3 linked regions of the Arabidopsis thaliana genome follow. The protein of the gene in region 1 interacts with the protein of each later gene in a pairwise test. Each region holds a gene or a part of one and is shown in the gene's direction. Other genes may lie near its edges. The genes, in order: AT5G26749, AT3G24820 and STY2.

Region 1 (3,700 bases):
TTTACCTCAATCTTGTTCTTGAGTACGTTCCAGAAACTGTTCATCGTGTTATCAAACACTACAACAAACTGAATCAGAGAATGCCTCTTATATACGTCAAACTTTACACTTATCAGGTATCAATTATTACATTTCTGTTAGATTTAGAGTTATGTTTTGGATCTCTTATCGGATTTCTCTATGTTTGGCAGATTTTTAGAGCCTTATCTTACATTCACCGATGCATTGGTGTGTGTCATCGTGACATAAAACCTCAAAACTTGTTGGTATGTACAAGTTAAATAAACAGGAGCTCACAGTATACCCGGGAATATACTTTTCTTCATTGTCTAATGCTACTTTTTTCACCTGTAATGGAACAGGTAAATCCGCACACTCATCAAGTAAAGCTATGTGATTTTGGAAGTGCAAAAGTATTGGTGAGTTTGATAAACCTCTTCCGGGTACTTTGTTTCTTGGAAAAAGTTAGATTCAATCTTGTTGATCATTGTAATATCTGAAAACAGGTAAAAGGAGAACCAAACATTTCCTACATCTGCTCGAGGTATTACAGAGCACCTGAACTTATTTTTGGAGCAACCGAGTATACGACAGCCATTGATGTCTGGTCTGCAGGATGTGTTCTAGCTGAACTATTGCTTGGACAGGTAATGCATTAAATCTTATTCAAACATTTTTGTTCTACTTAACCTGGAATTTTGTGATTGACAAACTCTATTCTCTGCTCATGACAGCCCTTGTTCCCTGGTGAGAGCGGTGTTGATCAACTTGTAGAGATTATCAAGGTATAAGCTTTGCACTTGTTCACTTTGATAACAAGTTCTTGTTTTCAATAATACTGAGAGAAGATTTGATGTAATGTTTTTTGTTATGCTTTGGGGTAGGTCTTGGGAACGCCTACTAGAGAAGAAATCAAGTGCATGAACCCAAACTACACGGAATTCAAATTCCCTCAGATTAAAGCTCATCCATGGCACAAGGTAGAAATAAACTTATATTCATCAAATCAACTTGTCAATGTGTTATTCAGTAGCAGTTACAGTCAATGTGACAATATCTACTCGTCATAATATATTCACAGATTTTCCACAAACGCATGCCTCCAGAAGCTGTTGATTTGGTCTCAAGACTTCTTCAATACTCTCCTAATCTACGAAGTGCCGCTGTGAGTATTACTTACAAATTCAACATTCTTCTGTGAATCTTCTCGATGGTCCTTTCATTTCCTATTTTTCTTTTGTCTGACTTGCTTTTACTTGAATCGTAAACCTGATCACAGCTCGACACATTAGTCCACCCATTCTTTGATGAGTTAAGAGACCCAAACGCACGTCTACCTAATGGACGTTTCCTTCCACCGCTTTTCAACTTCAAGCCTCACGGTACAACATCTCCCTTTCCTAATGGTGTTTATCTCCAACTTACCTGTAAAATCATCAAAGTTTTACCTTACTAAAGCTATACCTGTAATTGTTGTGAAACAGAGCTGAAAGGTGTACCATTGGAGATGGTAGCTAAGTTAGTACCTGAGCATGCAAGGAAGCAGTGTCCTTGGCTCGGTTTGTGATTTCCTCTTAATGTAGCATGAACACAACAAACACTTCTTATAAATTACCTCTCTATGTATCAATATGTCACAAACTGATATGCACCCTTTGTTTGTTGTATGAGTAGAGAAAAAAAGAGTTATTACTATGGTTGGTTGGTTCATAATGTAAAAGCCCACCAAGATTTTTTATCTAGATAAAGAGTTTGCTACTTCTGCTTTTGTATCTTCTTCTTCCTCTGCAACATCATCAAACAAAGACCCTAAAAGTCACTGTAGCAAATACAAGTATCCTCACGCGCCTAAAACTAATAAAAGCCAAAACTTTTTGATTCTACGAGTCGTCGTCGTCATCGCCGGAAGATGCCGTCGGGGAAATATTACTGTGATTATTGCGAGAAAGAGTTTCAAGACACTCAAGTCGCTAGAAAACGCCATCTTCAAAGCAAACCTCATCTTCGAGCTAAAGCCCTTTGGTACAGTTCTTCTTCCTCAGGTATCTCTCTTCTCTCTTTTTTCTCTCTGTTTCTTAAAGGAACGATTTTTAACATCTCTGTTTCTTTTAATACGAAATTCTTAGATCTTGTTAATCCACAAGTCTCCAATTTTGCGACGAAAGGTCTCTGCAATCGATTCATTACCTCGGTACGTCGGATTGATTTTGTTTCGCTATGTTCATCATTCCTAGCAATCTCTGGATGTGTAAAGTCTTGTCCTTTTCGTTTATATTCTGGTGGAATCACACATTTTACATTGCTTTGTTTGATTCTGCAAAAAAATTCATTGCATATGTGTGTATGTATGTAATCTTCCAAGTAAAGTCTGTTCCTTTCTTAATGGGTTTTGCAGAATTTTTGCCCATTTGGAGATTCTTGCAGATACTTCCATCCTAACAACAATACAGGAAGCACAGGTTAGGTCAAAACCTGTTGATTTTTGACTTCAGTGATTTGGTCTCTTTTAGGCTACTTAAAGCTTTAAAGAAGTCTCTACTATGCGCAAGATTTGCTTAAAACATCATCCTCTTGTTGAATTCAAATGCAGGATTCACAAATAATACACAACTTCGTGTTGACATGCTTAACCAACAACACATCCAAGGAAGTACTTTAAACCGTATGCGTTCTTGTTTTTTCGTCATTCAAGTTCTCTAATATTTAAGCATTTATAGAAAATCTGATGTTGGAAGTTTGAATTGTCTAAAACAGGTGATTTTGTTAGTGGGAGACCAGGAACAGGTTGGTTTGATCTTCCGCCATCGCTAAAACCGCCTCCTGAGCAAGGCTATCCTCAGCTTCCCTTCATAGACTGGGGATAGATATAAATTCTCTGAATAATGCTCAGTTTCAACATTGATGATTCTACTTGAAAGGAAAAGACTAATCTTTGTCTCGTTGTGCTCTGCCATTACCAAGCTTTTAGCCACAAGCTTGTCTCTTTTCAGACTCGAGGTTGGAAGAATGTCAACCAAATTGTCGTCTTGTTACTCAATTTGTCGTCAACTTTAGAGACATTGTTCGGAGTTTGGACATGGCAAATTTGCAATTTAACATACTGTGCGATATTCTGATAAAATTCTTTAAATTTCGTTGGCTCGTCCCTATTCATTGCGTGATGATAGGATATCGCTAATTCGCTATCCGCTTCCTGGCCATGTGCTAAACAAGACTTCCCAAGCCAAACTATCAAAATATTTGACAAAGTTGGAGCAATTCCTAAGGCTGTAGATTAATTACAAAGTTGGAACAATTTTTTCCCTAGAAAATACATTATTGAGAAACAGAGTATAAGTTGGCTAAAAGAAAAATCAGATTGTTCAGAATCAAATATTTAAATTATTAACTTCATTTTCATTTCTTCAACTCCATAAAATAGAACTAATTTTAAACTCTTTATTGTTGAGAGAAATATCTTCGAATCTCCTAAGAGTAATTTAGTCGAGCATGTTGGTTTGAGTTTATAAAAGATAGGTTATGATTTATTAGTTAATATTTCAAATTTATATATTGGTTTTTAGGTTTATAATGGAGGGTTTTAGTTTATTTTTTATTTTAATTATGAACAAAGTAAATAGTTTGAGTTTATAAAGAAGAGTTTGATTAGCGTATTATAATTACTTATATGTCGGTTTAGGTTTAAGATTTTATAATTAAA
Region 2 (3,757 bases), on another chromosome or scaffold:
GTATTAGTTTGGTTATGTGTAACTTTTATTTTTGGAATTAAAAATCTGATGTGGGTCCACCGACAGAATAGTTTTTTCCATGTTGTCTCCACTAGTTGTATGACACGTGGTAAGTGCCGACGCAGATTTTATACGGAAATAAGGAAGTGCCACGTAGCTAACTTTAGGTCCAAAAGGAGAGGGACAGGTAGACCACGTGAGTTGATCAATTCATGGCCTTGCTTACATATGAAATAATAAAACCTTTTTTTTTTGTTCATGGCAAAATGTTTTTATTTGAATATAAAATTACTTTTACGCACCTCTTATTTGATATAATATCTCCAGTAAAATCTTAAGAATTACACAAACTAGCCTGAAGAAGAAGAGAATTTTGTTAGTTCCTTAGTCAACTGTCATGCCATATAGTGAATTTGGATTGAAGAATATTTGTAGAAGATTAACATAATTGGGACGCTTAGAAGTTATAGAACTCATCCCTAAGGATTGAAGTATCAACTGATAAATAAAACTGAAATGAGGTGATAAACTTCAACAGTGATACAAGGAAGAAAACAAAATCTGAATAGATAAAAACCAAAACAAGAGTTAAACCAAAAGATAGATGCTGATTTTCTTCAGTACTTGATCGATGCAAGAACATCGAGCTGGGATCCAAGTTTCTCCTCTGCAACCTTCTCGGCCTTTGCCCTGAGCTTGGTGAGTTGCTTCTTACGCTCATACAAAGCTTGTGACCTCTCCTTTCTCTTCACCTCAAGCTCCTGTAAAATCATTAAACCAACAGTAAATTCCCAGTTTCTTCCACAGATTAAGTGAGATAATTTTCTCCTGACTAAACTAAGTACAATGATATGATCTTCAGTTATAAATTAAAACAATCAGCAAAAGACCCAGAACAATGACAAAGATGTGTCAGTAGATGCTATTCAAATCAACTCATAGGAAACTTACAAATACAATTTTAGTAAATGAAGCACCTTTTGTTCCAATAATAAGGCAGACGAAAAGGACAAAAGGGACATACCTTGATGGTATCGTAATGGTTCCAGCCAACTTCAGAAGACAAACGTCCCAACAAGCAGTACTTGTGACCAGCCTGAAGCCTCAACACCCTAAACAAAACAAAACAAACGAAAACCAGTTGACAGCTAAAACACATTGAACATAACCAAAATTACAAGATAGAACAAAGTTGCAGAAACATTACTTGAGAGCATCAGGAATGACCATTCTCTTGACCTTGTCATAAGGAGGTGGTACTCCCTCAAACACCTTCAAACGTGCAAGAGCAGCAGCACCACGCTTGGTCTTGTGTGGAATCATCCTGTAAATGACAAATGATCACATTTCAAATCCTCCATCACACTATCAAACATACAATTCCTAACACAGACATCATTGCACAAAGATCAAAAGCTGACCATTTCTTCATACTTAATAGTAACTAACCAACCTAAACACAAATCCATCCATTGATGCAAACCCTAACAAGCTACACAAAATATAACAACTTTCCAAAAACCCAATACTCAAATTCTAATCTTCATTTTCAAGAATCACATACTAAGCTAAGAACTTTAAGACTGTGAGATTAGAATACGAACCCACGAACGGTACGCCAGAAGATCTTAGACGGAGCACGGAAATGAATAGGACCATGAGAAGGTTTAGTGTTCATGCGTTTCCTAAGAAACCTCATGTACTTCATCTTCTGACGAACCAAACCACCAGACAAACAAATCTCCTCACATCGGACAACAACAACACTCTGTCCATTGAGCAACTCTTTAGCTATGATCGAAGCAAGACGACCACACATATGGTGACGTGCGTCAACAACGACACGCTTTGAACATATCCCTGACCCAGACACCATCTTCTCGATTCGAATTCGCCTCTCCTTAGCTTCCGCTCTTCGAAAAGATCTCAGCTTCACTTCAATGGCGACTTTATATATGATGCGACATTAGGGTTAAGAGTTCTCTAAACCCTAATTTATTGGGCCTTTTGTTATTATAATAAGGCCCAGTAGCCCAGTAACAGGCCATGCCCAGGCCCATTTTTTCTACTTTCTAAGGCATTGGAGATTTTCAGATTCTTCTTCTTCTTCACAGGATCAGCAATGAATATAGCTTCGAGGATTCGACGAAGTTTTTTAAGAGAGAAGAAGGAATCTTCAGATGGGAATAGCTTGAAGAATGGATCGAGTGTTAAGGAAGAAGGTAAAGATGAGATTTTGGGAGTTACTGATGAGTTAATCGATCATGTCAGATCCTTCACCATTGATACGTTTAAGAACTTCTCTCTGGAAGGTAATTACGAAAATTGGATCCCAATTTAGTTAGGATTTTTTTAGTTTTGTGATTTATGAAGTTGATTTTAGTAGTTTGGGTTGTAATTTCTAAAACAGATGAAGAAGAAGAAGTATCTGTGAATCCTTTGGGAGATGAAGATAATGGAATGAGTTCATCTGCAAATGTGAAGAAGGATTTGTCTGATTGGCAGGAGAAACACGCGGTTCTCGTGTTATCGAAATCGAAGGTTTTTGGTCTTGAATTTTGAATCTTTTTGTGATTGACTTTTGTTTTGAAATGAATGGAATTGGTAGCTGTAGAGATTACAAATGATCAAAGTTTAGCTTTTGGAGCCAATGGTGCTATTTTAAAGTTAGATTCATATCTGAGTGTGTGGGCTGATGATTCTTATATAGCCTATTACATAGCTGTTGTCTTCTTGATTTCCTAAATTTTGCTTCTTTTGATGATTGAACTTGTGTTGAAATGAATGGAATTTGTAGCTGTTGTCTGTAGAGATTTCAAATGATCAATGATTGGATTTTGGAGCTAACGGTGCTATTTAAATTAGATTCAAATAAGAGTTGATGATTCTTATAGCGCCTATAGAAAGTTGCTGTCTTCTTGATTTGCTTGTAGCTTTGGGTTTGGTCAATTAGGAGCAATGGATCGAATCTTATAGGGAAATTTGAAAGTTACTCTTTAGGACTAAGCAAGATTTCTAAATGGATGGAACTGGTAGTGGTAGAGCTCTTGGTCCACTGGTATCACTTGAATCAGAATCGGATCAGAGTTTATGTGCCGAATCTTATAGTTCATTTGATGCTACTATCTTCCTGAATTGCTTGTAATCTGGTTAGGCTCATGTTAGTGAAAATGGTAAACATGCTCGTGTTTGCAGTTCAAGATGATTTTGTTACACAGTTGGTAAAATTGAATTTGGTTGATAGGACCATTGGGTTTAAACGAATCTATTTTCAAAGCTGCTCTAAACAAGATTGATTTCGTGTTACAGGAACTCTCACAGTTGAGATTCAAGTTATGCCCGCGAGTTTTAAAGGAACATCAGTTTTGGAGGATATATTTCCAGCTTGTGAGGAAGATTGTGGCAAAGTAAGTACTTTCTTATGCCAAAAAATTTCGTTTGAGATGGTTCCATAACTCCAGGTGTAATGCCCTTAGTAGGTGTTAAATGCACCTTACTCTGTTGTTCTGTGTATGATTCCACTTTCATATAGAGATAGTGAGATGGGTTTTTAGCTTGTAACAAAGTGATGAATAAAGATCACGAGAAATATGAGTTTAACCATTGGTAGTTCATGGAAATTATTTGCAGATATGAGGTGCTAGCAATCCAACAGGCTCAAATCAGGAGGATGGCCATGGAAGACAGTAAAACTTCTGAAAGCAAGGGTGTATATGAAGTTGAAATGTCAGAAACAAAGCAAAGGTTGAGTACAGGA
Region 3 (3,757 bases), on another chromosome or scaffold:
AAAAAAAAAAAAAAAAAAGAAGAAGAAAGAGAGAGTCAACGCAAAGGAGAGGCAAACACGAACACACACAGGGCTCGAGAGACCTCTCGACATGTTTAAGGGACAGACAGCGAGCGACACTGAACGTCTTTTTCTCGGGCCTCTCCCACTTATCATTCCCTTCCCTGTCTCTTTTTTTTTTGTTTTTCTTATTTGTATAATAATCATTAGATTTTACAATTTTAAATAGCTTTTTCTTTCCAAAACCTTTGGACTGGACTAACCTGGATCGGTCCGATCTTGATAACGCCGGTTTTATAAAAATCTTAATATTTTTTAGGGTTTAAACTTAATTTGTACGATCATGGATGGATCATCATGTGGTACGAGTCCACTATTAATTCTTCTAAACACCTAAACAAAAACGATATACTTACATGATTGTTTCTGGTTGGATTCGTAGGTGGCATTGTGACTACACTCGTTCATCAATATGGGCCGATTTAAAAATGACTAGATTTTTTTTTTCTGGATCTTGAAAATCCAGACTAATCCAACAGGTTTTTGGTCTACCACAACATTTCAAACAAAGACTATTTATTAGAAACCATAAACCCGGAAAAACTACGAATACCAAATATTATTACAATAGTTTGCTTCGTCGTTTACGTGGAAATTTATATAATTCACAGTAAAAAGAAAGGAATACAAAAAAGTACACGTAGGTGGCGCAGTGTTCCCTTGTATAGCCACATAGAGTCCAAAGAGTAACATGCTTTTTTTTTTCATCTTTCCTTAGTTTTTTTTTTGTAAATATTTCTTTAATTATTCAAATCACTCGATAACGATATAAATATGATCATTTGCTACAATCAATAAAAAGAGAGCCTCTTTTTCACTGCCCCGAATCTCTCTGTTTTCATAACTACTCCATGGTGAATGATTTGATACACTATTGACTATAACTCTAATTCTTAATGATTTTATACACATGGATTTAAGTTATGATTTATAGAGGGTAACAAGCAGAATATTTGAATGTTTTTATTGCGGATATTTAAATATATAACTTACCGGAAAAAGTGGCAGTCTAAATTAGAAGAGCTTGTTAATTATGCATGTAAAATTAAATTTAAATATGGTTTAGTCATCCCTTTGTGGACACTATTGACGTTTTTCCAAAAATTTTCTTTTCACTTGTAAGTTTTTTTATTTTAAGAATGGCTTGTTTTTTTTAACTATTTTTAAAACAATCTATTGTCTACTCAAATAGCATAAGCATCGATAAATATATATATATTTACATGTATGATAATGATATATGGAATATTTTATGAAGGAAAAAAAGAGTTGTTCTGATTGATCACAAGATTACTTACCTCAGAAAAAATCTAAATATGGCTTTACTTAATTAGGGTAAATGTTTGAATACGTAACATTAGACTTTCGAAACATATTAACCAAACAAATCGTTAAGAACGCTCTAATAAATTTGATCAAGATATAACCCTGAGGCAGCTAGATGAGCAATTACTATTGTTTGAGATTAAACAAAAAAAAGCTTAAGGACAAAGAAAAAGAAAAAAAGAAGAATTTAATTTTCTAATCGCGTAGGATTTCAAATTAACCTAAATTAAATACGGTTCATTAATACGTACGGACACATGAGCTAGCTTTTTTTTTTTGATAACCACGAAAAAAATATGTATGCTAACTTTCAAAGAAAAGAATTGAATTCATCCGTTTTAAGATAAAACAAGCTTAAGCACATTCGCCACTTGGCAAACTCTGGTCCATGGGATGAGAACAAGAAAGCTAGGACCGGTGGATCATTCCCCGTGGGTGTGAAACTCTGAGTCGGTAGAGAGAGAAAGAAGAGATAGCAGAGAGAGAAAGTCTTTGTTTAATCCTTTTTTTACTTTCATACGGACAGAACTAGAAGCGTTTTGTTCAGACAAAGCCGAAGTGAGAAGAGGAAAGAAAAGCTTTTCACTTTGGGTTTCATAGAATCTGCAAAAACCAAATCAGAGTAGTGGAGAGAGAGAGAGACTTAAATTCTAGGGATGAGCAGAGCAGAGGAGAGAGAAATCTAAAAACGCCCATGGCGGCGTTGCAGAAATTTATAGAGAAAAATAAAGATTCATAAATAAGTAGACAGCTTAAATTCTTCTTTCTTTCTTCTCTTCTGTTTCTTTTTCTTCTTCTTACTTTCTCTCACTTCAACTACTCACTACCAAGAAACACACTTTGTTCCAAGAGAGAGAGAGAAAGAGAGATCTTGTAGAACATTCGAATTTAGATTCGGAGAGCAGCAACAACACCCACAAGCTAAGGGAGTATAAGGCTGAATTTGAGTGAGAAGAAGAAGGAGAAAAAAGGATAAGGATTTCATGGTAATTAGGGTTTCTGAATTATGGATATAGTTGGGTCAAGATTAGGGTTTGAAGTTTTAGGTCTTAAAAAATGGCTGGGATATTCTCATTAGGAGGTAACAACAACAACAACGGAGACGAAGAAGAAGAAAATCAACAACAACAAAAGACAAATTGGGTTTGGTATAGATCAAACGCAAACACCAATAATATCAACCCAAGCTCGAGCCAACAAGTATGGCAGATTCCACCAGAGCAGATGCTCATGCATCATCATTCACATCCACAACAACAAAGCTTAGATCTTTATCCAGGTCATCAGATCGACGTCTCTGATTTAGCCACTTCATCAAGATCCATCACCATTAGCTGTCGGGACTGTGGGAACCAAGCCAAGAAAGACTGCACTCATATGCGTTGCAGGACTTGCTGTAAAAGCCGTGGATTCGATTGTTCCACTCACGTCAGGAGCACGTGGATCCCCGTTGCGAGGCGCCGCGAGAGACAACAGCAGCTTCATATGTCCACATCTGGAGGTGGCGGCGGAAGCGGTAGTGGCGGTGCTGGAGGAGGCGGTTCGAGTATCCCAAAACGCCATAGGGACCCTACTCTTCCAGGAACATCCTCCTCTTCTCGCTTGCCATCCCACTCAGCAGGTTTTTTTTTTTTATGTCTTTATAAACAATTTGATATCCAGACAACTTCATATATTCGAACCATATGTTTTTGTTAGAAGAAACACGAATTTTTCAACACAAAAATATATGTGAGTTTAATTTTCCTTTCACTACTTGCACAAATTTTGTTTACTTTAAAAATACAACATTCTATATTTATTTTTAATCAAATTTCAGTGTGAAAAAATGTTTGATAAAAAACATTTAAATGTTGTGTTCTGTTTTGAAGTGAAACATAACATTAAAACATAAACGTAATCTTGTGTTTATGGACGTTGATTAATGTGTATAATTGTGTATATATGTTTTTAGGGTTAGAAATGGGGGAGGCAAGTTTTCCGGGGGAAGTGAGCTCAGATGCGCTTTTTCGGTGTGTTAAAATGAGTGGCGTAGATGATGGAGGAGATGGTCAGTACGCTTATCAAACGACGGTCAATATTGGAGGTCATCTCTTCAAAGGAATTCTGTATGACCAAGGCCCTGAAAGCAGCTACATGAGTGGCGGTAGTGGCGGAAGCGATCATCAGAGCTCATCCGCAGGAGGCGGAGGAGGAGGACATCCGTTTAATCCTCCAGTTGTGACCGACGGTGGCGGAGGAGTATCATCGGCCATGTTTGTAGATCCAAATTCTGGTGGTTACTATTCAAGTAACATGACGACTAGTGTGTTCATGCCACCAGGTACGCAATTCTATCAAAATCCACCAAGATCTTGATTAAATCAAGAAC

Evidence for each region.
Region 2: the proteins of AT5G26749 (region 1) and AT3G24820 interact in a two-hybrid assay, tested with the Arabidopsis thaliana proteins (one large-scale study listed by BioGRID).
Region 3: the proteins of AT5G26749 (region 1) and STY2 interact in a two-hybrid assay, tested with the Arabidopsis thaliana proteins (one large-scale study listed by BioGRID).

The regions. Positions count from the first base shown.
Region 1 is NC_003076.8:9,397,449-9,401,148, reverse strand, and holds AT5G26749 (C2H2 and C2HC zinc fingers superfamily protein), read left to right. Parts: upstream 1-1,881; 5' UTR 1,882-1,909; coding exon 1,910-2,042; intron 2,043-2,126; coding exon 2,127-2,248; intron 2,249-2,395; coding exon 2,396-2,459; intron 2,460-2,590; coding exon 2,591-2,662; intron 2,663-2,754; coding exon 2,755-2,864; 3' UTR 2,865-3,134; downstream 3,135-3,700. Other genes in the region: SK 11 (shaggy-related kinase 11), read left to right, coding at 1-116, 192-266, 363-419, 507-647, 735-785, 885-980, 1,082-1,165, 1,280-1,382 and 1 more.
Region 2 is NC_003074.8:9,062,732-9,066,488, reverse strand, and holds the start of AT3G24820 (BSD domain-containing protein), read left to right. Parts: upstream 1-2,012; 5' UTR 2,013-2,122; coding exon 2,123-2,312; intron 2,313-2,410; coding exon 2,411-2,541; intron 2,542-3,309; coding exon 3,310-3,407; intron 3,408-3,630; coding exon 3,631-3,757. Other genes in the region: AT3G24830 (Ribosomal protein L13 family protein), read right to left, coding at 618-761, 1,025-1,112, 1,208-1,324, 1,605-1,876.
Region 3 is NC_003075.7:17,155,692-17,159,448, reverse strand, and holds the start of STY2 (Lateral root primordium (LRP) protein-like protein), read left to right. Parts: upstream 1-1,803; 5' UTR 1,804-2,442; coding exon 2,443-3,007; intron 3,008-3,340; coding exon 3,341-3,744; 3' UTR 3,745-3,757.